Linked DNA regions of Rhinolophus ferrumequinum. The main gene of each other region encodes a partner of the protein of the gene in region 3 in a complex. Links are inferred from orthologs where the notes say so. Each region holds a gene or a part of one and is shown on either strand. Other genes may lie near its edges.

Region 1 (7,163 bases), on a different chromosome or scaffold from region 3:
GAATCTCCCCCAAACCCGGAGGCCTAACCCTATAAAACAAAGCCCCCGACCCCGGGAAGTGCTCAGTCTTTGGAATAATTCTGCTGAGCCCGCTGGCGTAATAAAGCTGTGTTCTCCCTGATCTCTGCGTGCCACTTGAGTCTCTTGGTCCTCGCCGCTTTTCCGCAACAAGCTGACTTACATTTCATCCAACAGACATTTAGTGAATCTCCACTAAGGACAGGAACTGTGCTGGGTGTTGAACACAATCAGTGGCTGAGTTCAATTTCTAGGGATCTGCATGTATCCTTTTTTAGCTAAAATTTATTGAGAGTTTACTATGGCTCAACTGTTCTAAATGTTTTACATGTATAACTCATTTAATCCATATAATAATACTTTGAAGGGGTAACTATTATGACCCCCATCACATAATTGAAGAAACAGAGGCACAGAGAGGCCAGGTTACTTGCCAAATATGACACAACTTACAAATAATGAAGCTGGGACTCAAATTCAGCCACGTTGGCTCCAAAGCCCATACTCCTAACTCTGAAGCTCTGAGGTCTGCCATCTTGTGTTTACAAGTTGACATGAGAAAGTCACACTGTAGGGGGGCACAAAGAAACACCTGCAACAGTCACTGAAATAACGCTTGAACACCACCTATGCACACAACATGCTGTTGCCTGTATGAGGATACAAAGATGCATAAGAACAATGATCTACCCCTAGGAAAACTAGATTGTGAATCTAGCAAAGAGCATAAGTATATGATGACTTATAAAGCAGGGAAGGTGTGATAAATGCTAAAGTGCTGAAAGAAAGTCCTCTGAACTTCACAGAGAGATCAGTTCTGGTTTGGTTACTGAGAAACATTTGTTGATGGGGCAGTGTGCCATCTGTGCCTTGAAAGAAAGGTCAAATTTCAGTAGATAGAGAGAAGGTAAAGGCAGATGAAAAGACAGGAGCTCTGGGATGAAGGAGAGATGGGATGAGGCATTTCTTCCACAGTCAGTAGGAGTCCCTTTTGCTGGGGCTTTCAGCACCCATGGGGGCCAATGGGACACCAGCCTTTAAAACTGTGAGTGGCAGGACACTAGGTCCAAACCCCAATGCAGACCCCTGAGTGCAAACTTCCTATTTTGTGGCCAGAGTAGAGGCAGAGTGAGTCAGCACCTTCAGTGTGGCAAGGCTGAGTGTAGAGGGCGCGGAAGCAGCTTGGGTTTCCCTTAGCAGGACATGGACATGGGCATCTCTGAGGGATGTGAGGATCCAGGTGCTGTCAGCAGGGGTGAAGAACCAAAAGGAAAGAAGCCAGAAAAAGAGCTGTCTTATCGGAGCAGTGATAAGGGCAAGGACAAGACAGAGAACCTGATGAAGTCTGACGCAGAAGTGACGAATTCAAGTGGGGTAGCTCAAATATTGATACAGGGAAAGAATGGTTTGGGAGTCCCTTCTAGGCATCCCACCCCCAGTCTGCTTTGACATTGATATCATTACAAGGGGAATGCATTAATTTGACAAAGGGTAGGATGTAAAGAGATAGGTGAAGTCTGTGGGCAGAACCCTGAGGACCGGCCACTCTCATGGGGCAGGAGGGTGAGAGGGGTCAACCGAGGCAGGAGGAGAGGAAGGGCAGGAAGTTAGGTGTCTCAGAAATCATGGGAGGAACAGACTTGAGAATAGCAAGGGCTCAAGAGTGAAAACTGCACAGAGATGTCTAGAAAGATGAAGACTGAAAACGTTATTGGCTTCAGTATTTAGGAGACAATCAGTGTTCTTTAAGGGGTTATTCCGTAAAACAGTCCTGGGTGGGTGAACCCTGGTGAGGGTGGCAAGCTCAGGGACTGGTTAAGCACAGGAACTGGTGTATCATCCACATAGGGATAGAGGGAGTGGCCCAGCTACTACAGGAAGTGTAGAGAAGAAGACGTGGGTAGTTAAAGCATGCAAAAAGGCTTCAAAGTGATGACTAGAGAGGGGAAAGGATTGGTAGAGAGCAATCACCCCTGAAGACAGAGGTGATGTTTGCTGAGGACTAGAGGTAAAGTCTGTGGGATGGGAATGGCCAAATGGGGGTATCCACACATCCTTTTGCAGGGTGACCCACCCACGGTCCATGTTCTACGCCATTCAGTTGTTGTCCTGTTTTGTTTATGTTTTTGTTTTTTTCTATATGGAAGCATCCAACACCTCCTTATAAAAAGTTGGCCCAAATCCCACAGGCATCGAGTTCTCATGTGGACTCAGTTACTAGGGCTATTCTCAGACTTCCAATCTTTTTTTTCTTCTTTTTCTTTCAAGAATCAATAATAGGCTCAAGGAGACTTAAATAGGATGCTGCACAAAAGGCAGTCATGGTTAATCAAATAGAAACCATCCAAGAACTGAACCAGCCTGGTGTGGGGCAAAACCGGTGCTTGAACATCCCTCCGCTCCTTTTAGGGCTGGCAGGCTCAGGAGGGCTCCACTCTTTGTTTAATGTTTTGTCACAGGTTTGAAATTCTTAGTAAAATTGGAACCAGGAGGTAGCTTGTCCTGTCCCCTCACTCATCCAGGCAATGTCTCCCCTTTCTGAGATCTTTCAGCAGTGTCCCAGCAAGGTTCCAGCCCATATCTGCAGGCCTTGGGCCTGGGCTGGCTGCACTCCAGTCAGCCTGGTGTGGGAGGGATGTGCACAGGAGTCATGACTTCTGACTAAGCCCAGGCAGCCAGTGTGGGATGTCAGGCCAGCACCTGCCCTTCTCCCACTGGGGACAGCTGGATTCTCCAAAATCTGATGCTCTTTCTTTCCTCTTCTCAGAGGAGCAGTTGCACTGTTTGGGGGAGCTTCAGACCTCAGTCTCCATGCCTTGCTCTTCCCGTTTCTGTGTGGGAGCTGGGGCAGCTTTCCCAGGACCTAGCAGCACGCAGCAGGAACATTCTCGGGTCTTTGCAGGTCTCAGCTCTCAGCCCAGGCATCAGGGAGTGTTGGGAGGGACCATTGTACCTCTCTGCTTTCACTTTCAGAGTGTCCATGTCTCATCCCCCCTTGGTTACTCTAGGTCAGTACAGTCCAGCCGACAGGTGCTTGTCTTTCTCTTGTGAGGACACCACACTCTCCTGCTCTTACAAAGGGACCCGAGAGGCAAGACTCTTCCCCGCTCCCCGGAAGCTGTGGAATCCTCAGGGCTGTGGAATCCTCCGGGCGTCCCCACCACCCCCAACTCTCTCCCTCTCTCTCTCCTCCCCCCTCCCCCACTATTTCAGTGTAGGTTTGGCGATCTCTGACTTCTTTGGCTTTGTTTAGAGTTCAACAGCGCCGCCTCCTGGTGCTTGGTTGTGAGTCACCATAGCAGAGAGAAGGCATAGGGTGTTACACACACACACACACACACACACACACACACACACACACACACACTACCACTCTCCCTTATGTTTTGGACCCACCCCTCCGCATTCTCCGTAAATGAATAAGAGGAAAAGGTCACCAAAGTGACAGATTGCCATCTTCTCCTCCCAGCTCTCTCCACCCTGCACGTCCACAGGGCCCTCTTCAATGCCCTTTGCCACACAAGTGACACTTATATACACCTCTGTATCAGTCTGATCTTTCAGCCAAATGGAAAAATTCTTAACAGACTCGAGTGGAATCCACCTTGAAGTCCACAACGCCTGCCGGCGAGGGCTCCCGGAGGAGGATTACTCTTTGGGGAGGCGAGATGCACTGTACCTCTGTGAAGCTGGGCAAAAACAGACCAAACTGTCTAACGTTCCCCACAACACGCCTGCCCCTACGGGACTCAGCAGAAATTTGCCTGCCATGGCTTCTGAGAGGTGACAGGACCTTGGAGCACGACAGCATTCCGGAGACTTTTTTCCACATGATGAGATGAGGTCTGGCCTTGGCTGCTCATGATCAGGGACTCCTGTGTCCCTAGTTGAGCAGGGGTGGGTGGGTGGGGGGAGGGGGCACCAGCGTTAGGATGTTAGGTCAGCCCTCCCGGCTTCCTCTATCATTGTCCCAGCCACATCCTCTGTCTTCTGGAGCCCAGCGCACCGCAATTTCCAGAGCTAGGCGCCCTTGCCCTGGGCGGGGTCTAGCTGTCTCCTTGCGATTGTTGTCTTTGGGGAAGTCTACGCCCTAGGCAGCCCCTCCCAAAGCCCTCTTCTTGAGGAGCAGCTCCTCCCGGAGCCCCGCGTGTCCTGAGAACTAACTCCCTTCACCCTTCTTCATTCACAGCCTTCATCATCCCGTCTCATCTTCCCAGAGTTCTGCAATCCAGGCTGTCCTTGAGATCGGTTTGTACAACGAATTTATGAAAAAAAAAAAGTGGACCAAGAGATTAGGGGAAGCTGCGGATTAAGTCCTTTTTAGGACTGCGAGCCTGGTGGCCCGCGTGGAAGGAGCACGACTATCGCCTGGCTGACAGAAGTGCTGTCCTCCCGTGGCTCCTGCGCTCGGCGACCCCGCCCGGGGACCGCCCAGCGCCGGGGCTGGGTTTACTCATCCGGAGAGGTAATCCCAGGCGCGAGGGCGGGAACTAGGCGTCAGGAGAACCCAGTAATCCGAGAATGCAGCATCAGCCCTTCCCACCAGGCACTTCCTTCCTTTCCCCGAACGTTCAGAAAGGGAGGGCTGCGCACTTATAAACTCGGGCCAGGGCCTACCGCATGTCAGAGGCTGCCTCGCAGGGGCTGCGCGCAGTGGTCTGACGCCTGTGCTCTGGGACAGACGCCAGCCGCTGTCGCTGCCAGCTCCTTGCGCTTCTCAGCCCGGGCGGGGCGCCAGCCCTGTCGCGGTGCCTGCGCTCTTCCTGGCACCTGCACGCGGGGTGCCGGGACAGCATGCTCCGGGTCCTTCTCCTCAGCGTTCTGGCCCCCGCCACCCTGGGGCTTCGGGCACCCCCAGAACCGCAGCCTCGCGGCAGTCAGTGCATTGAGCACGACTGCTTTGCGCTCTTCCGGGACTCCAAGAACTTCCTCGCCGCCAGCCAGGCCTGTGAGCGCCTGAGAGGCCACCTGATGACCGTGCGCTCCTCAGTGGCAGCTGATGTCATCTCCCTGCTACTGAGCGGCGACGACAGTCACGGTCGTCGCCTGTGGATCGGCCTGCAGCTCCCACCCGGCTGTGGCGACGCAGAGTACCTCGGTCCCTTGCGCGGCTTCCAGTGGGTTACGGGCGACAACCACACCAGCTACAGCAGGTGGGCGCTGCTCCACAAGGACCCAACACCTCTCTGCGGTCCGCTGTGCGTCGTGGTCTCGGCTGCCGGGGCCCACGCGCCGGGCGAGCCGGCCTGGGAGGAACAACAGTGCACCACAGAGGCTGATGGCTTCCTCTGCGAGTTCCATTTCTCAGCCTCCTGCAGGCCTCTGGCTGTGGAGGCCAGCGCCGCGGTGGCCGCCAGCGTCTCGATCGCCTACAGCACCCCGTTCGGGGCCCGCGGCGCGGACTTCCAGACGCTGCCGGTGGGTAGCTCCGCCGCAGTGGCGCCCTTCGGAGTGGAGCTGGTGTGCGAGGAGCTGCCGGGAGAGGCCGAGGCGCGCTGGGGCCGGAAGGTGCCAGGCACCTGGGACTGCTGCGTGGAGAACGGCGGCTGCCAGCACACGTGTAACCAAAGCGCCGGGGTGTCGCGCTGCCTCTGTCCTGCCGATTTTACCCTGAATGCCGACGGGCGCTCCTGCTCCGCGCCTGGGGAGCACTCGTGTGACAAACTCTGCGAGCACTTCTGCGTCCGCAACCCGGACGTGCCCGACTCCTACTCATGCATGTGCGAGACTGGTTACCAGCTGGCTGCGGACCAGCACCATTGCGAGGACGTGGACGACTGTGAGCAGGTGCCCAGACTGTGCCCTCAGCTTTGTGTCAACACGAAGGGCGGTTTCGAGTGCCACTGCTACCAAGGTTACGACCTGGTAGACGGCGAGTGCCTGGAGTCCGTGGACCCGTGCATCGGGACTAACTGCGAGTACCAGTGCCAGCCTGTGGGCCAAACTGACTACCGCTGCGTCTGCGCGGAGGGCTTTGTGCCCGACCCCCAAGACCCCCACAGGTGCCAGATGTTCTGCAACCAGACTGCGTGCCCAGCTGACTGCGATCCTAACACCTCAACTCTCTGCCGGTGCCCTGAGGGCTACATCCTGGAAGAGGACTCCAGGATGTGCACCGACATCGACGAGTGCGACAATGAATACTGCCCCCACACAGATGCGTGCCGCAACCTCCCCGGCACCTATGAGTGCATCTGCGGGCCCAACTGGGCCCTCGCCGGCCGGACTGGCACCGACTGTGACCCTATCAAGGTGAGCGGTGGCGACGATGGCGGCTCTGGAGAGCTCCCGGTCAGCCCCACTCCTGGGACAACCTTGAGACCGTCGCCTGCAGGGTCTATGCATTCTGGGGCGCTCATTGGCATCTCCATCGCTAGCTTGTCTCTGGTGGTGGCGCTTTTGGCACTCCTCTGCCACCTGCGCAAGAAGCAAGGGGCCACGAGGGCCCAGCTGGAGTACAAGTGCGGGGCCTCAGCCAAAGAGGTTGTACTGCAGCACGTACGAACGGAGCAAATGCCTCAGAAACTCTGAGGGACCTCCCTCTCTGACCCCAGTTGTTGACTTGGACTTTCCTTCCCTCCAGTGCCTTATTCCCCTGTTCTCCCCCAGCCTTACTCCCTGGCCACCCTTAGCGGGCATCAGAACTGGAAAAGACACCTCACCCCTTTTTTCACTGATTCCATGAATGGCTGGGGAGAGGGAATTAGGAGGATGCACCCCAGTTGCTCCCATGAGATCACAGATCAACTGGGCAGAGATGGCAATTGTACAATGAAGACAGAGACTGCAGAGTGTCCCATGCCCTCCCCATGGGGTACAAGAGGGGTTAGTGGTCCACAGCATTTTGCGCAGATTATGATCTGATGAACTAGTGAGTGTAATCCTGTCATCGATGATGACCAAGATATTTATTTTTTAAGTATTTGGGACACTTTTTCTTTTTTCCCTGTGTGTGTGTCTTCAGACCCACTTTTGAGTCCCTCCTGCCATTCTCTCTCTCTCTCTCTCTCTCTCTCTCTCTCTCTCTCTCTCTCTCTCTCTCTCTCTCTCTCTCTCTCTCTCTCTCTCCTTCCCTATCTATATGTTTATGTACTCTCATTTATCATGTAGCAGTTAACGTATCTTGGTGAATTTTTTTCAGCCTC
Region 2 (7,769 bases), on a different chromosome or scaffold from region 3:
TCACCTTGGTTTTTGTCTGCTGATAACTTCCAAAAGATGAAGTGATCTGAGGTAGGTGGGAGCCCTCCCTAGATAAATCTGAATGTTGACTCTCCCTTAAATAAACAGAGTAGGGCAGATTCCACTCTGTGATGAAAGTGGCCTCTTTCAAATCCTCAGAAGCAAGTAGTTAAAGTGTGACTTAAAAAAAATATAATTTAACAATTCATCGACCTTGGACTGGAAATGTTTTCCCTCCTAATCTGCCCTCCTTACTTCACAAAGCTGTGATAAGGGTCAAATGAGATCACATATGAAATTGCCCCAGAGATAAAAATTAAACAAAAACAAAACTGAATTGGTTTTTGCTGTTAAGATTGGTATTTCTGTATGAGACTTGAATCCAAAATAAAAGTTTGGAAATATAATTTTAAAACGTTATTAATTTTTCGCACTTATTTTTAAATTACCTTTTCATTTTTCTATTGCTTTTCTCATTTACAGAAAAATTTTAAAACATGCTTCAGAGAGTTCCCTATACCTGTTTCCCAGTTTCCTCTGTTAGCATCTTACTTTTCCATGATTTGTCAAAACTAAGAAATCAATTCTAATAGTCACTATATTCTAACTTCCATACTTTATTCAGATTTCACCAGTGTTTACACTAGTGTCCTTTTTCTGTTGCAGGATCCCATCCAGTATGCATTGCATTTAGTTGTCTCATCTCCTTAGTGAGCTTTGGTAAGTTTCTTAATCGTTCCTTGTTTTGCATGATCTTGAATGTATAGATGAGTAAATTACTGATCAAGTATTTTGTAAAATGTCCCTCAGTTTGGGTTTCTACACTACTATTCTCAATAACTTTTTGTTGAATTTTACCTAAGCAAAATTTTACCCAAATGTCTCCTGCCAGTGGCTTTGGTTTTACTATAGAACAGCCCATTAAAAATAGGTTCCACTAAGAATCAGAGAATTAAATGGATCTGGGTAATTATATTGCCCCATACTTTTCATGTAATTCCTTACTGTGGAAAGCCTAAGTACCTTACAGATGCCATTTCCCCAGATCTCCGTACATTGGTGACAATTGATAGAGCCGTTTGCTAATCTTTAGTAGAACTACCATGAAACCAGCAGAGAAGTTTGACAAATTCAATGGATGTTATAGTGTGTGATGTTAGAATGAATCCATGGTGTTCATATTAATACATCAATTGATTATTCATCTAAATAATGGTTTTACTTTTCAAAAATAGCATTTATACTTTAATGCATGTTCAATGTAAAAAATTGGATAAATCTAGTAAAACTTAGTAAAGCACATTATAGGTAAAGTTAATTTATCTTGAGAATTGAATTATTTAATCAATAAGAGTTAAAAATGAAAAGAAAGGAGTGGGGAAAACTCAGGAACCTCACTTTCATATCCATCTATCTATCTATCTATCTATCTATCTATCTATCTATCATCTATCTATCTATCTCTATCACTCTCTTTCACACATATACATATCACACACATATCACATACACATATACACACACACTCATAATTACTTAATAGAAGCTTGATTAAAAGTACTTAAGTAGAGTCGGCCTGGTGGCTCAGGCGGTTGGAGCTCCATGCTCCTAACTCCGAAGGCTGCCAGTTCGATTCCCCCATGGGCCAGTGGGCTCTCAACCACAAGGTTGCCGGTTCAACTCCTCGAGTCCCCCAAGGGATGGTGTGTTCCGCCTCCTGCAACTAAGATTGAACAGGGCACCTTGAGCTGAGCTGCCACTGAGCTCCTGGATGGCTCATCTGGTTGGAGCGCGTCCTCTCAACCACAAGGTTGCCGGTTCGACTCCCGCAAGGGATGGTGGGCTGTGCCCCCTGCAACTAGAAACGGCAACTGGACCTGGAGCTGAGCTGCGCCCTCCACAACTAAGACTGAAAGGACAACAACTTGAAGTTGAACAGCACCCTCCACAACTAAGATTGAAAGGACAACAACTTGACTTGGAAAAAAGTCCTGGAAGTACACTCTGTTCCCCAATAAAGTCCTGTTCCCCTTCCCCGATAAAATCTTTAAAAAAAAAAAGTGCTTAAGTAAAAGATTATGAAAATTACATATAAAGTCAACAAAAAAGAATGATTATTATATCATTGGAACATTATAGAATTTAATTCCAAAAAACACTAAAAAATTATTCAGTTGCATAGTCATTAATTTGGAGACAATTCAATAATAAGAAATAAAGTAGCTTTCTTTTCTGAATAAGGAGATTGAAGAGAAATACAGTGTGACAGCATGAAGCAAGGTTAAGAAAAGTTCTTTTTTTCCCTCCTCACTTCCATAAGTGCATTTCGGAATCATTTCTGTGTATTTTAGGAAATTCTCATTTTCTCTCTTCAGCTATAACTTCCAGGAAAGCCATCTGGAATCAGGGTATTGATGAGTTCTAAAAATAAAAGTCCCATTAATTATTCTTGCCTAGATCATCATACCAATTTACTCACCTATCACAGTAAGCAACATGGTTAATAACAAACTTTTTTGCAACACCATTGAAAAGCAGAGGACAAGTAGAGAAAATCGGACAGACAAAGCAAGTAGCCTTGCCAATATTATCCAGTTAATCCTCTAGAGGCAGTGTCTGTTGTAAAAACCTGAGGCACAGGCCCGGAAAGGGTATTTTAAGTACCAGAATCTCCTACATTTTTATAATTCAGGCATTTCAAAATTTAGACATTAATTTTAGTACTTTCCAATGTGCACTTAATACTGTTGTAATAAAATATTTCCTGTCCAAGTACCATTATCTCCTTGTTATTAAAACAATAATAAATGTACAGTTTCATATAGATTTTTATGCTAAAAGACACAGTAAGTATTTCTCAAAAACATCTTGCATTTGTAGGCCTGAATTAAATCTGATCGCTTAAGGAACATTTTACGCAAAGCAATGCAGAAATGATATATCACTCTCTTCTCTGTTCTTTGAATATGCCTCGCAAATTTTCCCATTGTTTTGTATTAGATATAATCATATGAAATTTCAGATGTTCATCATTTTAATCTACACAAATGTCAATTCTATAAGGTTTAACTTCCTCGCTGCAAGTGTATTTGATTTCCTCACCAACTATAAGCAAGTTGAAGGTACCAGATTGTCCATTATTTACCTTTCTATTTGAAGAACATAGCATGAGGACTGACAAATAGTAGACATATTATAAATGGTTGTTACATCTAAACATATGGATTAGGAAGTAAACTGCTCTAAAAATTCAGTAAATTTAAAGTCAATTGGTCAAGAAAAGAATGTTCCTCTGTTTCCCTGGGATGTATTCCAGGAAAGGACAAATACCTCATTCAAAAGAAAGCTGAGAGTTTTTGTTTTGTTTTGTTTTGTTTGTATTTTTAAGGTATGTTTACAAAATGGCAAATATTTAGAGTGACTGGCTGTATATTTTATTTATAGTGGAACCCACTTATGCTTTCTTGCTCAGTGAGAGGCCACACCTTTTGGGGAGAATATAAAGACCAATAAAATATGTCAATTCTCAAGTTTATGATCTAGTGGAGGAGATGGACAACACTCCAATAATGCTAAATGCGCAAATGGTGCATGGCCTAAAGAAGTATGGAAGAACAAGAGATTGTTTCTATTTGGAAAGATGAAGTCAGATACTACGTAAGGTGTCTGGCAAAGTGCTCAGCACTTAGTAAATACTCAATAAATATTAGCTATTACTATAATCAGGATTGACTTCACACAGGAAACAGAATTGGAGGCAAGGTAAAATTTATAGGCAAATTACAGTATGCCCAGTGAAACAGGCGTTTCAGGTAAACCAAAAACAACAAAAAAAAGTTTTAGTTTTGCATGGGACATACTTACAATAAAATGTGTTTGTTGTTTATCTGAAATTCAAATCTAAGTGGGCATCCTGGGTTTTTATTTGCTGAAGATGGCAATTCTTAGCCAAGAAAAGTTTTGCTATGGCGATGAAGAGCAGAGAAAGTAAATTACCATGTCCAAAGGCATAGAAACAGGAGAGAAATGGTGTTTTTCATGGCACTTTATGTTCTCTAATAATTGTTAACACTTACTGAGTACTGTACTTAATATGTGGCAATCATTACTCTGAGGGCTTTACAGGCTTAATTCATGTATTCTTCATAAAAACGTGTGGTAAGTTATCATTATCCCCATTTTAAAAATGAGGAATCTGAGGCATAAAGAGGTAAAGCAGTGCATTCAAAAGCACAGAACTGGCAAATGATGTGGCTGGGATTGTGGCTGGGATGCTTGGATCCAGGGGCTGCTGTCATAACCATTTTGGATAGAGGAAAATAATTCGTTTAAGTTAAGCTTTTAGAAGCTCATCAAGGGCAGACTATCAACACAGTCATTTTTTAAAAGTCAGATCATCCAACCATAATTCCTACATAAAGTGCAATGTCATTTGTCAAATCTCTGCTTTAAAGTGGGCTACTGCTAGCCTGCTTCAGCCTCTCTCCATATTCCTTCAGGTACGCAAGTCTAGGTCTGTCCTCCTATGTTCACCTTTGGATTTCCAAAGTCACCTTGTTCCTGGAATGTGGGATCTTCCCCGAACTGCTGCTTTCTTTGCAACAACTTATTGAAAGCAAACAAGCGTGGGCGAATTGAGCAAGAACTTCTGGAACACCAACCTTGGAGAAGGAGCAAGGAATGTAGAGTGAATGTTGACCATCTAAACAGGACAACGGTAATGATTAATCCCATCTCCTGCAGATTTAAATGGGATGGGACCTGGGAGTTGACACAATCCTCTTTTCTTGCAGCTGGATTGCTGCTCATGAGCCAGTCCCACCCACAGAAAAGATGTTTTCCATGAGGATCTTCTGCTTGGTCCTGAGTGTGGTGGGAACAGTTTGGGTATGGTCCTCTTTATTTTCTCTTTTTTCTTTCTCTCTAGTGTTTATTCCACAAAGAGCTTGACAGTCTGAGTCAGTCTTATATATGTCTTCATACACTGTTAGCTTTCTAAGCTCTGGGCCCTGCAGGCCAGTTTGTAGATGGGCCTGACACCTCAAGAATACAGGGTAATATGACCCTAAGGGGCAGACTTACCCGGACCAAAGTGTACAAATTCACAGAGGAAGTTTTAATATCTGTAACTCGGTCTTACAACATTTTTTTTAAGGGAAAAAATCTTTGCCATCTTTGTTGCTATAAAGCCTCGAGATAGTTAATGCTAGCTAACAGAACAAAACATTCGCATGGTGAGAGTTTTGAAAATTCTTGATATTTGCCCATAATAAGCAGAACAGTAGTTTAATACAGTTTTTTCTGAAAGGTTGTTTTTGTGTTTCTTTTGAGACAAATAAAAAGCAAATTAGTTGTCTTTGCAAACACATTACATAGCAAAGTCAGAAGAGATTAACTGATAAACCCATATGCTTTTTTGGGAAGCAATTGTATTCTTTTAAGCTAATTACTAACTATTGCAATGATTCCTAAAGTTTGACTCCAGAAACCTACAGGAAAGAAGAGAAACTTAATTCAATAAGGTTTTTGATCTTATAAAAACATGATAAATATGTTTTAGAAAGTCAGTTACATCCAGTCTGTGAATAATTTCAGTTTATTTCTTTCCCTTCACCACTCATAATTCCTAATACCAGAGCAGAAGAAAACTAAAGAGAACTTCTAACTTAATTTTCTCTCTCATAATAAAACAATAACTAAACATTTTTAAGGGAAATAAAACTAACATCATTTGCTAAGATGATATTTTGGATAAGGCATAACTTTCAGTTATTTCTCCCTGTTACTGGCATAAATACAATTTAATTTTTGCTTGTTTTTTTTTGTTATGCCATTTAATTATGAAGTATGTTTGAATTTATAATTTTATTTCTTAGACAAATAGATTATACTTGTTCCTTTAGATAAGTTGTTCTTGATTGCTAGAATTAGTATTATTCTTATTTGGTTTTTTTTTTTAAATGAGACAACAAATATTAACTAATTATAAAAATAAACTTTCTGAGATTAAAATAGTCGTAGCAAAAATCTTTGTAAGTTGGTGGCACAAAATAAAAATAGCCAAAATCTAAAACCCACATTGATTTATTAGAATATAAAATCTTGTTGGAAGAATATTTTTATCTTATTTCACCCCATAGATCACAATAGATCTAATTGTAAGGTGTTCAAAAGAGTTGTCAGTCATAGACCATTATTTTTTCTTTCAGTTTACTTTTCCTCATTTCAGTTAAAAAGATACCATTACATGAGTGAGCAAACTAAAAAGCTTTTCTGAGTCTGAACTGGACACATTTGTGTTCTTAGTATATACTTGCTCAAATTATGAACCCATAAGGTCATCATAGAAACTTAAAGGACAGACTTTAAGCAAAGATAGTGTAGGCTTTTTCCTACTGAAACAGGAATTATAGGAGAAAGGATTCTTTGATTTTTTTTCAATTATCTTTCTATCTCCAGATATCAATGAAAATTAAAAGGTAAATTTTAACTCATTTTGTAGATTCACATAATTTTTCTTTTATAATGGAGACTTTAAAAGGCCTACCATTTGCTCAATGCTTGTTTAGTGTCAAACTCGGTTAAGAAATGTGTACCCTTTATCTCTTTCAGTTCTCACAACTTCATAAAATGGGTATTAGGATATTCATCCAAAGGATAAGAAACCTGAAGTTTATAGTGGCCCCAAAGCTGGTGCTGTTAATCTTTGGGAGAGGCCATCTTCTTTGAGTTTGACAAGCATGTCAATGTCTCTTTTCCTGCTTAATGTTGTTCTCTTCTGTTAATCTTTAAAGTCTGGAGAGACCCAAGAAGGTGAATTTCTAGCTGAAGGAGGAGGTGTGCGTGGCCCCAGACTTGGGGAAAGACAGCAATCTGCCTGCAGAGAGAGAGACTGGCCCTTCTGCTCTGATGACGACTGGGTGAGCAGTGGGCTTGGGGAACGACACAATCCTTCCTTGCTGGGCTAGAAGTGTGCACAGCCTGACCACTTAGGTCACAGGAAACGTTTTCAATGGAAAAAAATCAAATAGCTCCTTACACGTCAAATTAAAGAAGGCAAATGGAAAGGAATGTAGTCCTGAGAGCACTGTTTAAATTACTTTCAAATCTCTGGGTCATTAGTGGGATTAAGAGATTGGCTTTTAATTCCATGTACAGGTGGATACAAGGAACCTGATTATTAGGCTTCAAGGTTTCACTGGGCCTAATTTATGGTTAAATGGGCCCTCTTTCCAGAATTTCCTTATGATCGCTGATTAGCCCGTTCAAACGACTTTTAAATCAATAGATAATCTGAAGAGATTGGGGAAGAAAGCAATGGGAGCGGCAAGGAAACCTTTAAAATTGTACTGGAGCCAAGAGATAGACCCTTAATGTAATTATTTTTTTCTCTTCACTTTCAGAACCAAAAATGCCCTTCTGGCTGCAGGATGAAAGGGTTGATCGATGAAGTCAATCAAGATTTTACAAACAGAATAAATAAGCTCAAAAATTCACTATTTGAATATCAGAAGAACAATAAGGACTCTAATTCAGTGACCAGAAATATAATGGAAATTTTGAGAGGGGATTTTGCCAGCGGTAATCGTAAGTATTACGTATTTGATGCTTTGACTTTATAGTATACAACAGAAGAAACAACATCAAAAATCCTAAATAAATATAATATCTTCGTATAGCAACTGCAATTTTATTCCAAAGCACTTAGTGTAGAGACACATCCTTTATGATATCCCTAAATTTTTAAGGAGGGGCTAGTAATTTTGTTA
Region 3 (7,429 bases):
CAGTATAATCTATAACTCATGAGAATTTAAAAAAATATAGCCATGTGTCAAATAATACTTAACTATATTAACAATAATGCTTTCCTATTACTGAGATCCAAATCTATATTCAAACTTTTTTGTTTGTCAAAAAAAGTCTTTTTTTTTAATTTTTTAATTTTTTATTTTTTTATTCAAAAAACTAAACCAATGATGGTAATTCGATTTCCTTTGTGCATTTGGTTTTTAGATTTCTCTTAGGTTTCTATTATTCTGAACAGTCTCTTTCATCCACCCCTTTTATTTCCATGTCATAAATTTGTCAGAGAAACTGGAGTTATTTGTCATGTCAAGTGTCCCTCATTTCACCACGATGTGGTGGTCTTATTCTTTTATCATCTATATTTCCTGTAAACTAGTAATTAAAACAAAGCTTTGATTTGATCCAGGTTCGCTAGTTTAGGAAGAACCCTTCATAGCCAGCATTGTGTATTTCCAGTTTTATTATCATATCACATAACAGTGCTGTTTATTTAGTGCTTACCATGTGGCAAGCATTGTCATACTTCACAAACATGATTTATTTGGGGGGTAAGTAGTTTAGTTTTTTTGTTTTTCTAATGCAGTATTTATTTGTCTTTCCTCGGTCAAACCCTGAGCCTACCACTTTTCCCCAGGCTGCCTGGGGAAGTATAGGAAAAGGAACATACAGGGCAGATGAGACGGGAGAAAGAACTATGGGAGGTGGAGACGGCTCCTTCTCATAGTAAGGATGAGAAAGGCCACCATCAGGCAAAAGAGCTGCAGGGCCTCAGAGGGCAAAGCCAAGAATGGCGTAGGAGAAGAGCTGTTGCTTTAAAGAAGGGTTCCTGGCATAACGAGTGATGAGGCTCCCAAACACGGTCCCAATTCCAGCCTCAGCCCCAGCCCCAATGCACTTGGCTACTGTGTTGATGTCCTTTGAAATGGCGCCTGTTTGGAGGCTGCGGCTAGAAATAAGTGCGGTCAGAATATGTGGGGCTGCCAAGCTGCTGAGGCTCTCATCTGTCAGTGTCTCAGGCCGTTTCAACACCACTACAGACAGTGACTGGCTGGCTCGGCAGCTGATTGGTGCTCCTGACCAGGGGGTGGAGACAAGCCCTGCGCAGGCGCACATTTTCAGGGGATGAGGGGCTGTGGCAGGAGAGCTATTCCCAGAGCAGAGAAGAGGACTGGTTTAGTTTTTATTTAATAATGATAAACTTAACTCTGAATCCATCTAGACCTGGAGGGAGATAAGGATGGAATCCAAAGAATTGCAGCAAGCAAGAACACAAAGATTACAGGATGTGAGAGCTGGAGTTATTCTCAGGAACAAAAGGAATCGTTGGAGATAAGATAAAAACAAAATCAAACTGAGAGTGGCCTCGAGTCTTCTTGCTGGTCTTGCCATTCCTGGATCCAAAGCGCCCCTTCGCTTCTACAATATGCATGCCGTCTCTCTCCTGGCCAGAACTCCTGCTTGCCATCCAACCCATCAGTCTTCACCGTGCAGATGACACACTGGGAGCCATTTGGGTTGGGTCCAGCATTTGTCATGAATGAGATGGCAAGACGCATATTCTTCAAAATGAAGTTCTCCCCCTAGATAGACTTGCTGCCGATACTATTATGGTGTGTAAATTCATCACCCTGACAGGTAAACCCAGAAATAAGTCTAGGAAAGCAGGAACCCTTATAACCGAATCTCATCTTCCCAGCGCTCAGAGAACTGAAGGATTCTGCTTTGGAACATTGTCTGCAAATAGCTTGAAGAAGACGTGGCCCAACAAGTTGACCGTTAATGGCCATGTCTACACGTGGCCTTGGCGAAGCTGCCACTCCAAATAAGAGTCAGCAAAGAGTCCAGCATGATCTTACTTAGCTGCAAGTGAACATTGGTATAATTCTGGTTTTACAGATGGTGAGACCAAGGACTGGCCTCCCAAACTAGTAATGTCTTCCGTGCTGTGGTGCTGGTCTGTCAGGATTGGGGATTTCTGACAGTGAGGAAACAAGGGGGCAACCCCCCGGGCCCCCAAACCCTCAGTAGAAGAGGTGCCATGTGTTACGTGTTTTGTCCTTCTCCCTGCTAACACCCCACACTCCTCCCACACCTGCCCCTTACCTGTTCTCCCTCTCCAGGTTGAGTCAGCAGTGGCCCAAGCTGGTCCTCAGAAAAAGAAGGACCACTTACCTCCAGACAGGAAGGATGAAACCACACCTCTCTTCTCTCCACTTCTCAGGAGCCCTCTCCCTTTCTTTACTCAACATGGAATTTTTAAAGAAATTAGTGAGGTGAGATCTTTTCACCATTCTAGTTAAAAAAAGGGAGGGGGGATAGGCTCAATGTCATTAGGAACAGGGATACAGATTAAAACCACGATGAGACACCTACATGTCCGTCAGAATGGTTAATACGAAATGGCTGGATAATGTAAGGTGTTGGTGAGGATATGAGCAGCTGGAACCCGCAGACGTTGCTGTTGACACTGTAAACTAGCACAGCCACTTGAAACAATTATTTGTCACAGCAACTTAGCCGAAACATATGCCTGCTGTATGAGCCAGCAAAGCCACTCCTGGGCCTGGAGCCGACAGAAACAAGTGCTTATCAGTCCCAGAAGACTTGTACGTGATTGTTCATAGCACTCTTCACAATAGCCCCAAACTGGAAACTGATCCCAGTGCCCAATCAACAGGTGAATGGAAATAAGATGTTCCATAGTCATCCAATGAGAGACGACGCAGCTTTTAAAGGAAGGACTGCTACACGCAGCGTGGATGAATCTCAGAAACGTGCTGAGCGAGAGAAGGCAGACACAAACAGGTATATCCTGCAGGTTTCCATTAGATGGAGTTCAAAAACAGGCAGAACGGGTCTGCGGTGATGGTGGTTAGAATAGAGGTTCTCTTAGGGATGACGCAAAGGAGGCAGTTGGGGGCCGGAAATGTTCTCTCTCAATCTGGTGATGGTTCCATGGGTGTGCGCATGAAAATTTGAGTTAAACACTTAGGATTTGTTTTAACATTATGGTATATACGTTAAATCTCACCTTAAAAAAGAAAAGAAAAGAAATATATAACATAAATATATATAAATCTAAATGTAGGAACTGGGCAACCCAGGAATTAAGCTGATTCGTGGGAGTCCTGGTCCCCAGTTCTCTGCATTGGGAAGAGCCCTCCCTGTGATCTTCCCAGACTGTACAGAACCGCAGTCCAGACCCTGAACGGTCAGTCCCGAAGGACAGCCAGGTAAGAATCTGTGTTTCTGCTCTTTGTCCCTCTGTCCTACTTAGACCTAGGACTAATATTTACCTTGTGTACTGTAAACAGGAAGTGGGGGAGGGGCGGGAGCAGGGCTGGGCAAGGGGCAGTGTGGGACCACCAGGTGCTGTAGGCTGGCCAGGCCTACAGGGGGAGCAGGAAGGGCCCCACCGTGAGACCCTGGGAACTGGGTTGGCCCCTGTTTCCAGAAGCCAGGCAATAGGTTCTAGGAGATGAGAGGAAGCAGAACAGAAGCCTAGGAGGCCTGGCCCTGACTCCTCCTCCCGGGCACCCCTGCACACAAACACTCCTCCACAGCTCCCCAGGTGGGAGGCAGGGAAAATGGGACCTTCCTTCCGTGGCTGAGAGGCTGAGAGCAAATGTTGGCTGTCCCTGCCCCAAGTGTGTCCTAGGGCAAGGTGGGCAGCGCTTTGCTGACTTCACCCTTGTCTCTCTTGTATCTGTTTGTGGGAATCACACAAACCTCCCTGTTGGTTTACATCCATGTACCTACTGATTAGTAAGCACTTTCATGGGCTTTCCATTCACAATCTCCTTTAATCTTCCCATCAAAGTACTCTTCCCATGTACAGATAAGGAAACTGAGGCACACAGGGATTAAAGCAACCGTCACCATATGTTAGGATTGGAAGGAATTGCAGAGACCTTGTGAACCCACTGGCCGCAGTTGGCACATGTTCAGGGAAGTGGGGGCTGGATGATGGTGGTTACATTGGTCTTTCCTTTGGGACTTCCTCCCAGACCATCCATCTCTGGTCCTAGGAGGACCTGTGCTCCCAAATGGCGGGTGGATTACCCTGTTTCCCAGAAAATAAGACCTAGCTGGACAATCAGCTCTAATGCGTCTTTTGGAGCAAAAATTAATGTAAGACCCGGTCTTATTTTACTATAATATAAAACCTCGTCTATAATAATAATGTAATATAATGTAATATAATATAATATATAGTATAGCATAATATAATAATACCAGGTCTTATATTAATTTTCGCTCCAAAAGATGCATTAGAGCTGATGGCCCAGCTAGGTCTTATTTTCGGGGAAACACAGTATCTATTCACTTGTCCCCATGGCCCTGACCTGCTGACCACTTCCTCTCAGCTGGTTTCTTCATAGTAGTTTAACATTAACCTGAGAGGTCAGGATGAGCCCTCTGCGTCCCAAGCCGACACACTATGGCGCACGTCCGAGGCCCGTGGCTACCTGGCTGCCTGGCCTTGGCTGCCCTGTTTAGCCTTGTGCACAGCCAGCATGGTAAGGGGGGCTTGGAAGCTGGGATAGGCTGGCAGACTGGGATACGGGCCCATGGCTGAGGTCCCCTGGCTCGATAGAGAGCACAGAGCCAGCCCCAGGTGGGCCTCAGCCACAGTATCCAGCTTAGGGAAGGAGTCCAGTGCTCAGATCTGGCCAGACAGTGACGACTTCTCTCTTGCCATATGGGGAGTGGACTGGGGTGACCCATGAAAGGAGGGGAGCTAGTGGGCTACCATTAGCAGCCTTTCAGGTCCTGCCGCCATCCCAGACACCCCTTTTCAGAAGCCAGCAGGCCAGGCCAGGCTTGCTTCCTGCCCCCACGATGGCCAAGACAGCCAGGCTGCCTCAGGCCACTGTCCCATGCCCCTCCTACTGCAGTGTTCCTGGACCCTCAGCAAGCAATGTCGCTGCTCCAGCGGGTCCGACGCGCCAACAGTGGCTTCCTGGAGGAAATGCGCAGGGGCAACCTGGAGCGAGAGTGCATAGAGGAGCAGTGCAGCTACGAGGAGGCTTTCGAGGCGCTGGAGTCGACCAGTGCCACGGTGAGGGAGGGAGGGCCAGGCTGCTCGGACGAGGGCCGGGATCCCTCCCAGTGGGCCCAACTCTAGGAGCACAAGTGAGGGGAGCGAGGAGCATCCCAGCTCTTTAACCTCATTCTATCTCTGGGCCCCATTTCACTGGCTGCCAAGGTGAACAACCTGTGGACCTTGGAGGTCCAGATGTCTGGTCTTGGGGGCTGATGAGGCTCCAGGACATCGGGAGGCCTCTCAGGCTTCAGACATCTGTCTACTTCAAGATCTCTGGAGCCTCTGCCCCCGTGGCCTCTCTGCTTCAGCTTTTCTGCTAAGTCTCTGCGATCTTGGGGCGTGGGGCTCTGGTGGGGCTGGGAGCCCTGGGCCTAGGCCTCTCTGTTCCGGGAACCCTGCAACCTTTCCCTTCCTTGGGGCTCTGCCTGAACCCCACGGCCAGCACCCCATGCCCTCTCTTCTCTAGTCTACCCCACCCAGGGGAATCCCTTTCAGACTTGGGTGCGGGTGGGAAAGCTCTCCTCTCTTTAGTGGGCCGGGGCAGTTGGAAACAAAAGCAGGAAACTGCCACAAACCTTCCCAGAGTGACCAGGGTAAGGGAAAGAGAAAAGTATAAGGAGAAGACATAATGTTTACTAAAAACCAAAACACAACAGCATCCTGCCATAGCCTCATGCTCAGCCCTTGCTTTTCAGGATGCCTTCTGGGCCAAGTACACAGGTGAGCACTGGGAAGGGTCTGCTTCAGGAAGAAAGTCCTGGGGACCCCACTTAGAGAATGTACTACTCTATGGTCCATCCAATCATCCACCCCCACCCCTGCCTCTTCCCTCCCTCACACCCTCCCTCCGTCCCTTCCATCTGTCTGTCCATCTCTCTGTTTCTGAATGTCATCCCACCCTTTACTTGAGCCCACCTTGTCCTTACCCCAACTCCAAATGTGTTTCTGGGTCTTTTCCAGCTTGTGAGTCGGTGAGGAAACCTCGAGAAAAGCTCGTTGAATGTCTGGAAGGTGAGGAATCAATGTGGGGGTGGGAGGTCAGGATATGAAGGGGACTGCCTGGGAGGAAAGCAGAGGCGTGTGGGTCAGCAGGTTGCCCAGCGGCGGCAGCCCCCAGCTTCTGATTCTGCCTTTCTGTTCTGCTGTCAAGGCTATTTTGCACCTAGCTCTGGTAAGATGATTAATGTTGAAGGAACAAATGAATGAATGGATAATGAATTAATGTTCAAGGCCTCATTCTCATCTGAAGCCCTGTCCATGCCAGTCTTCCCCATGTCTCCAGGGCAGAGCTCCGAATATGTCACATTCATTCTCCAAAACCTTGAGTGGCTGCCCCGTGCCTCCAGCATAAAGCACCAGCTTCTTAGACTGGCAAACATTGCAGGTTCTGGCCTTAACCTCCCCTTCTAGCGTTATCTTCCATTGCACCAACCGTGAACCCAGACCCCAGCTACTCTGACAGCAAGCTCTTCTCCGAACATGCGAAGATGGTCCTACTTCCTGGATCTTCCTTACATTGTCATCTTCCTACTGAAAATCTCCCTGTCCTTCAAGGTCTAGTTCAAATGGCACCACCTTGCTGAGCCTTCTGAATACACTGTTAGTGTGACGATGGACCCCACAACATGAACTCTTTAATCACTGGCCATACTTTCATTTGTTAAATCACTTATTAACAGACATTTCACTACGCCCCTGCTAGGTGCCAGGCACTTTGTCAAGTGCTGGATGTTTTGAGAGAATCAAGAAGCTCACAATTTCATAGGAAAACAAAACCATAAAACATCAATGTAATTGCAGGAAACATTCTGTTCCAGGTACCAAGAGAATGCCAGGAGAAAGAGCCTTTAGTTTGCTGACAGAATCAGGGACAGCTCCCCAGAAGCAGCAGAGTTTTACCCGGATTTGTGAGATACATTGATGGACAAACAGGAGAGCATTCCCAGGCAAAGAAAATAGCATGTGCAAAGGCCCTGAGGCACGAGGCGCTAAGCTGACAGGATAGGTAGACCAGGGTCAGGTTAGGCCTTGTTCACTTTTTCATCCTGCTGGCCATGAGGACCCACTGAATATAAGCTCCATGAGGGCAGGGACCTACTTTAATCATGACTGTCTTATTCATCACTATGTCCTTAGTACCTGGCACTGCGCCTGTCCCTGTGTCACAGTAAATATTTGGTGACTACTGTTAAATGGATTGGAGTACTGCTGAATGCAGAGGAGGTGCTGAGTAAGTGCAGGTTAAGAGTTGTGAGCCAGAAGGAGTTTGGAAGGGGTAGATGGAGCTTTGCTAAGACAAAGGGGGGGGACGGACTGGGGTCTCTGCAGGTAACTGTGCTGAAGGTCTGGGTATGAACTAC
Region 4 (7,569 bases), on a different chromosome or scaffold from region 3:
ACGGTGAGGGAACACATACCTGCTGAAGCACAGTCCATCCATTTCCAGATTGATCTATTTCACAGTAGACTAAGAACTGCTGCTTAGAGGTCAGAGGTTTGATAAAGTAAAGCCCACTTTCCTTGGCTCCCTTATTGGCAATGTCTTGGCAATCTGAAGAAGAAGAAACTGTTACTGTGGTTTGAAATCCAGGAAAGACGGGGTCAGCCTTAAAAATGAGCTTTTAACATGTTGCACACTAGTCCTTTACCAAGAAGCATTTTCTTACTTCTCACCCCAGCTTTCCTTTCAAACTATTGTTAGCTAATCAAAAAAAAGTCTAAGCACTTGGACACCTAGATTTAATGGCTAGACACTTTCAAAATTACTTCTATATACTATAATACATAAATTCTCCTTTACTTTATATATTAGCTTTGATGGACATCATCCCAATATCGACCTTTCACTTACCTTTCCCAGTTGTCTCATGTATTTGCACGTCATCTTTGCAAGGTTCCTGACACTGTTCTTCAAGCTGGGCTACCTTCTGTTTCAGGTTAATGATCTTTTGATTGTTTGAATTATATATATCCTGCAAAAATCTACAAGCAGAAGAATAAGATAATAGAGTATTTCTTTCAGAGGCATAATTTTGCATTTTAATTGAAAAATACTACCTTATCTTCTCAAGAATTATTTCCTGGTAAGTTATTCCATTCTTAGTAAAATTATGTTACTAAATTGAGGTGACTTAAAATTCTAAGCTTTCTGGAAAAGAAGACAACAAAGTCCTTGTCAATAAAAAATGTCATTGTCGTTAAACAATGCTCATTCTGAGCAGATAACGACCCAAGTGGGTGAAGGGTCTGGTTAAAGGAAGACCATCTGGTGATTATTCTTATGATGAGATATTCTTAGGGAAAGAAAGACTGTTCATTAATTCACATGTGCAGAAGGAAGCATTATTCCTTTTCATTTGTGGATCTGCTGAGGATCTATTTAAGGACTTCAATCTATAATTTACCTGAGAAAATTGTCAGGGACATTATCTTACCTAAAATAAAACAATGAAGACACTTTCCCTATCTTCTTAATGTTTCTATTTACATAGCTTTGGGAAAAGGAGGCTGGAGGAGGTGAAAATCCCTGCTTTTGTAGTTTTTCACAGGGTTGCTCATACATATTCCAAAATGATAGAAAACTATCGACAATGCATAGATTGTTGTGTCTTCTTTGAAGTCAAGAAGAATAAACAAACTATCTGACCACTCCTTTTCTTCACTGCGCCTTAGAAAATTTCTGCACAATAGTCTCTTTCCATTACAATGATGGGCAATAATAATGTGACTTATAATGCTAGTAATAATCACAACAATAACCATGGCCCTCCGATACCAAAACGAGGAGAAATCCCTCCTGGGCCACTTCTTCCTAGCCACCATCCACCATTTAATGCCATTCCTTACCCTGCTTTGAAAACAATTTAGAAAAAAAAAAAATGAGGAAGAAACTAAAATTGCATCTGAAACCCTATGTTCAGAAAGTTTATGAGTCCCTGGAAAGTTGTTAACAGAGACATTTTACTTTCGAGTGAAGGTAGGAGAATATATAACTTCAGAGTCACTGTGCCATGATCAGTATAGCTTTACAATGCTTGTTACACTTAGTCTTTTAAAACACATGTTTTTCTGCTCTACCTTCAATGTAATTTACTTTTGTAGCCAAGATCCTTCCTGTGCCTCTTCTTGCTAATTCCTCACCACTGATTTGACAATCTTATAAAGAGAATTTTATTTTCAGCACCCAAATTCCCATTTGAATTTATATTGTTAGACAACTGGGAGTGGGGGGTACATTTTGATAAATATGGTCATAACAGCATTTGAAGACATTAGAACACTTTTCTCCCACATGATAACTAAAAAGCAATTATATAACCCAATACAATTCATGTTGCACTAAAAAATCCTACCTCCATTTTATGTTCAAGATGGTCAGGCATAATGCCAATTGGATATTATAAGGGCGGGTGGAGATTACTTCCACTGAGGTTTGGAATATTAAATAAAAAACTTTTATACTAAATTAAAAAAGTGTTAAATAAAAAAATCACTCTTGGAGAGTAAGTTAAAACACAAATGCTTACCGAATATTTGTTTCGTGTGCTATAATCGTTGCTTCATATTTCATAATATCTTCCGTCATTTTCTTGTAATTATTAGTAGCAGCCTCTATCCTATCTGTAATATGGGATCAGAAACATAAAAATGCTTAGGCAAATAGAACCACTAAAACAACATCAAAAGGACTTCACAAATTATTTTCTCAGTCAGTAGTATTTAGTTTCTCACTTGGCCGTGATGGTTTGTCAGGATCATAGATGACTTGGATGGATTTGATCAGTTCTTTGGCTTGTGATGTTCTGTTTTCAGCTTCACCTAAGATGTCTTCCAAAGTCTGTAGATCCTTGTCTATTTCGGTCTGGTAATTATTTAGGAATTCTGCAATTCCACATGTAGTCGGGCAATAGCTACCCTGAAAATACAACAGTAGAATGATTTGAAATCTGTATAAAAGCTACACTTAAAAATCTATTAATAAAAATAGGTAAAACTTAGACTGTGTTAAAAACAGAGTTTAAAATGCCAAATAACATTTGTGAAAGAATTCCTCTTATTCTTCTGCCCCTCTCCAGTCCAAACACAGCAAGAAACATAAAAACTACTTACAAATCTTTCATCTAAGATGCAGCAGTTGTCTCTGGAAGCGACATACTAGAGGAGAAAAATACAGAAATTTCACTAGTTTATCACATATTTTCTTATTTTTCAGCTTTCCATTTGAAACAAATGTATGTTGTGGACAGCACACTTACTGCCAGGCATGTTGAAGAGAGCAATGCAAAAGTGTAGAAGTAGAGGATTAAACTCCGGGGGTGCAAAGACCAACTCATGATGTCGGGGTGCCCTGTGCTCCAAGCCCTGTAAGTGTCAGCACTGTGGATTTTCAGGCTCCAATTGTCCCTTTATGTAAGTTCCGAGGTTGGCCAGAACTGCCAGTGGCTCCAGCTGATCACGGGGCCTTCTTACTGGGAAGTGGGGGGAAGTCTTTCCCATCTCTTTTTCCTCATCCTGACCCCCAGCCTATGCTCAGTCAGGTTCCCAGATGGTGTACACAGGTTTAAGCTCCTCCTTTTTGGCCCAACTCCACCTTTCTCCTCTGCAGCCAACTCATCTGCAAAGGCTAGTGAAGCATTAGCCATTGCTAAGAGGAGGGGAGCCTGGGAGGTTGTATGATGCAACGTCTTCCAGTATGCGGTTGGGAGAGCAAACACAGCGCTGACCTCTACCTGAACAAACCCAGCCAGCTGACCTCGATCAGAACAAACCCAACACAACCTTAAGATAGAGCCTGGTACCATAGCCCAAATTACGGAGAGCGCTTTCTTAGCCCAGGGATTAGGTAACAATTATTTTGAACCTGTGGCTATGGCAAGAAGACTTTGCTTTCCACGAAGTCCCAATTTGTCAGTATTCCTAGGAACAAAGGACAAAGGAAAATATATTCCTGGCCCTCTGTGCTGACCATTATCTTTTCTTCTTTCTTTTTTTTTTTTTTAATGAGATATAACTAACATATAACATTATATCAGTTTCAGGTGTACGACATAATAATTCGATATTTGTATACATTGCAAAATGATCACCAAATAAGTCTAGTTAAAATCCATCACCACATATAGTTTTGCCATTTTTTTTTCTCATGAAACTTTTATGATTTATTCTACTGGCAACTTTCCAATGAACAATACAGTATTATTAACACTAGACACCATGCTGTACCAGGACTTATTCATTTTATAACTGGAAGTTCGTATTTCTTGACCCCCTTCCCTTATATGTTGACCATTTTCAAGGTTCTCAGTGAGCTGTTAAGCTCGACTCTCCCTTTGTCTTGAAAAACTGGCTGGCATGGCACCACATTGGCCACAGAGGGAAAACGAGTCAGGAGCCTACCTCGTTTTTTCCTTAGTTTCCATCTAGTCACCTCAGAGGAAAGCCTGGATACAGAGGCAGGGACTAGAAAAATCCACCTCTCATACATGTGACTAGAAGCATAGCAGGAAGAAAAGGGGTAAAATGAGATATTAGAGAAGGGCTGTACTGTTTGCTCTGCCCCTAGAGCTTCCTGGTATATTGGGAAAACACATTTACCATCGTCTCCTATTGATAATTGATAATTGTGCATTTCCACTATTATAAATATCCCTACTTTTGGGTTATCCCTCATTTCCTCCTCTGAAACTAAGCATTGCAAATTTTGATTAAACACATTAGTGGAAGAAATACATCTAGATTGAAAGAAATGCTAACACTTTAACCCTAAATCTTTACGAAGTTATGTTTTGACTTGAAACAAAGATAAATGTTCCTAGTTAGTATATAATTAATGATTATTATAATCAAGTGAATATATCAAAACAGATTTGTTGCCTTTTCTCTCCTCTTTAATACTTCCCTTCTCTGACTTCCCAGTTATTGCCAATCATATCATCACACCACCAGCCAATTAAAGTTTCCCAATCTTCCTCATCTCCTTACCTATTTGTCTATTTAGTTGTCGAAGCTTGTTTTTAAAACTATTTTCACAATGTCACTTTTATTTTATTCCTAATTTCTATTTCCACTGCCAACATCCTAGAGGAGGCCTTCTTATTTCCTGTCTAGACTGCTTGTCTGATCTCTCTTCCTCCACTCCAGTCACTTCCAGCTCGAAACCATTTGTCACACTGCTGACACTGTAGAGCTACACTGTAGCTCTCATTATGACACTCACCTGCTCAAAAACCTTCACGACTCCCTATTTCCCACTATAATGAATATCAACATAATGATTCTTCCTTCCTACCTTTGCTGCTTTCTCTTTCTTGAGTCCATTTCCTATACCTTCTAGTCTACCCAGTGGAATCACATAACATTCCCCTAATGTGCAACATACAGTGCTCTCAGACTATTTTTTTTCATATGTAGCTGCCTCTGCCTGGATTGCCTTTATCACACTCCTGCATCTCTGCCTGCTAAATTGCTATCCACCTGAAGATCCTGTTTCGTGACATCGATGCCCTCCAAAACAAAATCCAAAACTCCAGAGGCCAGCTCTTCCTCTTTCATGGCATTTATAGCAACCCTGTATCGTATATGTACACAGTGTCCATCTCATTAGATGGTAAACTTATTTTTATGGTTACTGCATCTAGCACAGCAATATTTAACACTCAATAGTGATTTGATGGCATTAAATTAAATTGCGATGAAAGTAAAGCTTTAAAGTTTATACTTCTAATATCTCTCAAAACTTTCAAATTGCAAAAATAAATGACTTTGGCAAGGGTAATTATGTAAAAGGAAATAAATAATCAGAAAGTAGCTACTGATAAGGTAGGTGTGTAAAATTACTAATCAGAAATCAATAGCTATCATCCATGAAAACAACAACCAGTTAGAACACATAATGAATGAAAACAATCTCACTTACAATTTCAATTACACACATACAAATAGATAAAATATCTAAGGAAAAATTTAACAAATGATAGGCAAAATAAATATCATTAAAAATTCCAAACAATAGGGATATAAAATAAAAATTGGACAAATGAAAAATCATGCTCTATTTCTAAATTAAAATGTCAGTGATTTCCATGATAATTTATAACTGTACTGATATTTCAATAAAACTATAAACAAGATTATTTTTTTCTTTCTCCTTCTTGTTTTCTTTCCTTTTTACAGAATTAGTTTAAATGATAAAAGAAAAAATTATCTTGGAAATTTCTAAACATGAAGAAGGAGGACAAAAATCTCTCTCAAATAGTATATAAAACACATTATAATTCCATAATTTTTTAAACAATATAATACTGGTCCATATTAGGTAGATAAGTACTGTCAAGACACAGGACAAAGTATATTTTGAGGTTTACTATGATAAAGTTGGTATTACATATCAGTGAAGCTAGAAAAAATTATTAAATATATGGCATTAGTATGGTTTTAGGACAACTGGGAAGCTTTCTGGAGGAAAAAAATTAAGAGACATGCATACTTAACTTTTTATACCAAAATAAATTACAGATTAACAAATATTGAAATATAAAAGAGGAATCCACAAAAATACTGGAAGAAAATATGAGGAAATCATAATACTTGAGTACGGAAGGTCTATCTAAAATATGACACAAAAGCCCAGAAAATATTCATGAATTTTGACTACCTTAAAAAAACAACAACTTCCCAGCCAAACACGAAATCAAAAACTACTATGTAAAACATTAAAGGCAAAATACAAAAAGACAACAGAATGCATATACATACATGTTACCATATACATTGAATATCATTTCAAGATTACACACGAGACTCCACCAGTGTTTGCCTCTGTGGAGAGGTATGGGACAGAGAATGAAGGACAAGATTGGAAAAAAAGGGCTTCATTTTCTCTGTATACTTAGAATTTTGAATATATGCACATATTACCTACCCAAAATACACGTAATTAAAATATGTAATTATTGATTATTCACAATGATTTATTTGTTGTATTAGTAATTGTTTCTTGATATTTTAAAATTTGAATATAAAAGGTGACTACGGCATTGCTTTTTAAGAAGACTATATAGCTCAATTGGGAATATGCATAAGCAGTTGTTAAGAACTTTGGACTCCGTACTCCTGAGTTTGAATCTCATCTCTACAACTTACTATGTAGCTATGTCACTCAGTACAAGTTACTTAACCTCTCTGAGGTGCAGTATAGTGTTAGTAAAATAGAAATAGTATTTATAATAATACTTCATAGGACTGTTACCAGATTCAATGAAATAATGTGCTGAGCACATTGCCTGATCCACAGAAAGTGCTAAGTAAATGTTTATAAGGCTTATGAATTAACAAGTGTTCTAAAGTGACAACAGATTTTTGTATTTCATTTCATAAATTTGTAAGAGGGGCCATTATTGGTAGATTTAGCTCACGGGGAACAAGCTTTGTTTTTCCAGCTCTAGAAAGTTCTCTAATACATAATCTGTTGCAACTAACTGCAGGCTGATTCTGTAATGCTTCCAGAGAAGAAAGCATCTGGTTGTCTAATTTAGGTGTAGATTCTACCTAAACTAATTCCACCAATCAAAGACTGCAGGCCTTCTGAGAAGGTGTACTTCCTATGAGTAACACAGTTCAAGCAAAGTGTGTCAGACAGAGCATACTGTCAATGTGGTTCTTTTTGCTGAAACCCATAAAATATTGATTTGTTGAATTTAAGGTAACACATAACTTTGTGTTAAATCTTATGTATATAATATATAATCTCATATGCACAGGTTGATAAACAGCTAAATTGAAGAAATTGGAAATTCTATCTTACTTAATTTTAGAATAGTACTTGTATTCTTGGCTTTTTGCTGACTTGCCTTGGAATCTGAGATATGTTATGACAATGTTAGAGAAAAGACTTACTTTTTACCACAATCTCAAGTCATAAATCAGAGTCCTCGTAGATAAGATGTCCTCTGAGAGAAAATGGCCAACA

The links.
Region 1: the proteins of F2 (region 3) and THBD are in contact, whole or in part, in a crystal structure (PDB 1DX5), measured with the Homo sapiens proteins. The link is inferred for Rhinolophus ferrumequinum from reciprocal best matches to the Homo sapiens genes F2 and THBD. Residues at the interface, in NP_000497.1 of Homo sapiens: Phe382, Ser385, Pro386, Gln387, Leu423, Arg425, Thr432, Arg433, Tyr434, Arg436, Asn437, Glu439, Lys440, Ile441, Met443, Lys470; in NP_000352.1 of Homo sapiens: Ser424, Cys425, Glu426, Cys427, Tyr431, Ile432, Leu433, Asp434, Asp435, Thr440, Asp441, Ile442, Asp443, Glu446, Asn447, Gly449, Phe450, Asp479.
Region 2: the proteins of F2 (region 3) and FGA are in contact, whole or in part, in a crystal structure (PDB 2A45), measured with the Homo sapiens proteins. The link is inferred for Rhinolophus ferrumequinum from reciprocal best matches to the Homo sapiens genes F2 and FGA. Residues at the interface, in NP_000497.1 of Homo sapiens: Phe382, Lys384, Ser385, Gln387, Leu423, Arg425, Tyr434, Glu439, Lys440, Ile441, Ser442, Met443, Lys470; in NP_000499.1 of Homo sapiens: Trp52, Pro53, Phe54, Cys55, Ser56, Asp57, Glu58.
Region 4: the proteins of F2 (region 3) and FGG are in contact, whole or in part, in a crystal structure (PDB 2HWL), measured with the Homo sapiens proteins. The link is inferred for Rhinolophus ferrumequinum from reciprocal best matches to the Homo sapiens genes F2 and FGG. Residues at the interface, in NP_000497.1 of Homo sapiens: His450, Pro451, Arg452, Arg461, Arg486, Ala489, Ala490, Leu493, Ile530, Val531, Glu532, Arg533, Cys536, Asp546, Asn547, Met548, Phe549, Cys550, His605, Phe607, Arg608, Leu609, Lys610, Lys611, Trp612, Lys615; in NP_068656.2 of Homo sapiens: Pro439, Ala440, Glu441, Thr442, Glu443, Tyr444, Asp445, Ser446, Leu447, Tyr448.

What each region holds. Positions count from the first base shown.
Region 1 is NC_046306.1:43,502,215-43,509,377, reverse strand, and holds the start of THBD (thrombomodulin), read left to right. Parts: upstream 1-4,156; 5' UTR 4,157-4,812; coding exon 4,813-6,549; 3' UTR 6,550-7,163. UniProt on the Homo sapiens protein: Endothelial cell receptor that plays a critical role in regulating several physiological processes including hemostasis, coagulation, fibrinolysis, inflammation, and angiogenesis.
Region 2 is NC_046301.1:25,420,025-25,427,793, reverse strand, and holds the start of FGA (fibrinogen alpha chain), read left to right. Parts: upstream 1-4,760; 5' UTR 4,761-4,833; coding exon 4,834-4,887; intron 4,888-6,794; coding exon 6,795-6,920; intron 6,921-7,403; coding exon 7,404-7,587; intron 7,588-7,769. UniProt on the Homo sapiens protein: Cleaved by the protease thrombin to yield monomers which, together with fibrinogen beta (FGB) and fibrinogen gamma (FGG), polymerize to form an insoluble fibrin matrix. Fibrin has a major function in hemostasis as one of the primary components of blood clots.
Region 3 is NC_046294.1:14,304,411-14,311,839, reverse strand, and holds the start of F2 (prothrombin), read left to right. Parts: upstream 1-4,420; 5' UTR 4,421-4,463; coding exon 4,464-4,542; intron 4,543-4,920; coding exon 4,921-5,084; intron 5,085-5,764; coding exon 5,765-5,789; intron 5,790-6,029; coding exon 6,030-6,080; intron 6,081-7,397; coding exon 7,398-7,429. Other genes in the region: ATP synthase F(0) complex subunit C2, mitochondrial-like, read right to left, coding at 791-1,135. UniProt on the Homo sapiens protein: Thrombin, which cleaves bonds after Arg and Lys, converts fibrinogen to fibrin and activates factors V, VII, VIII, XIII, and, in complex with thrombomodulin, protein C. Functions in blood homeostasis, inflammation and wound healing.
Region 4 is NC_046301.1:25,437,495-25,445,063, forward strand, and holds the start of FGG (fibrinogen gamma chain), read right to left. Parts: upstream 3,005-7,569; 5' UTR 2,936-3,004; coding exon 2,858-2,935; intron 2,757-2,857; coding exon 2,712-2,756; intron 2,518-2,711; coding exon 2,334-2,517; intron 2,223-2,333; coding exon 2,129-2,222; intron 585-2,128; coding exon 454-584; intron 154-453; coding exon 20-153; intron 1-19. UniProt on the Homo sapiens protein: Together with fibrinogen alpha (FGA) and fibrinogen beta (FGB), polymerizes to form an insoluble fibrin matrix. Has a major function in hemostasis as one of the primary components of blood clots.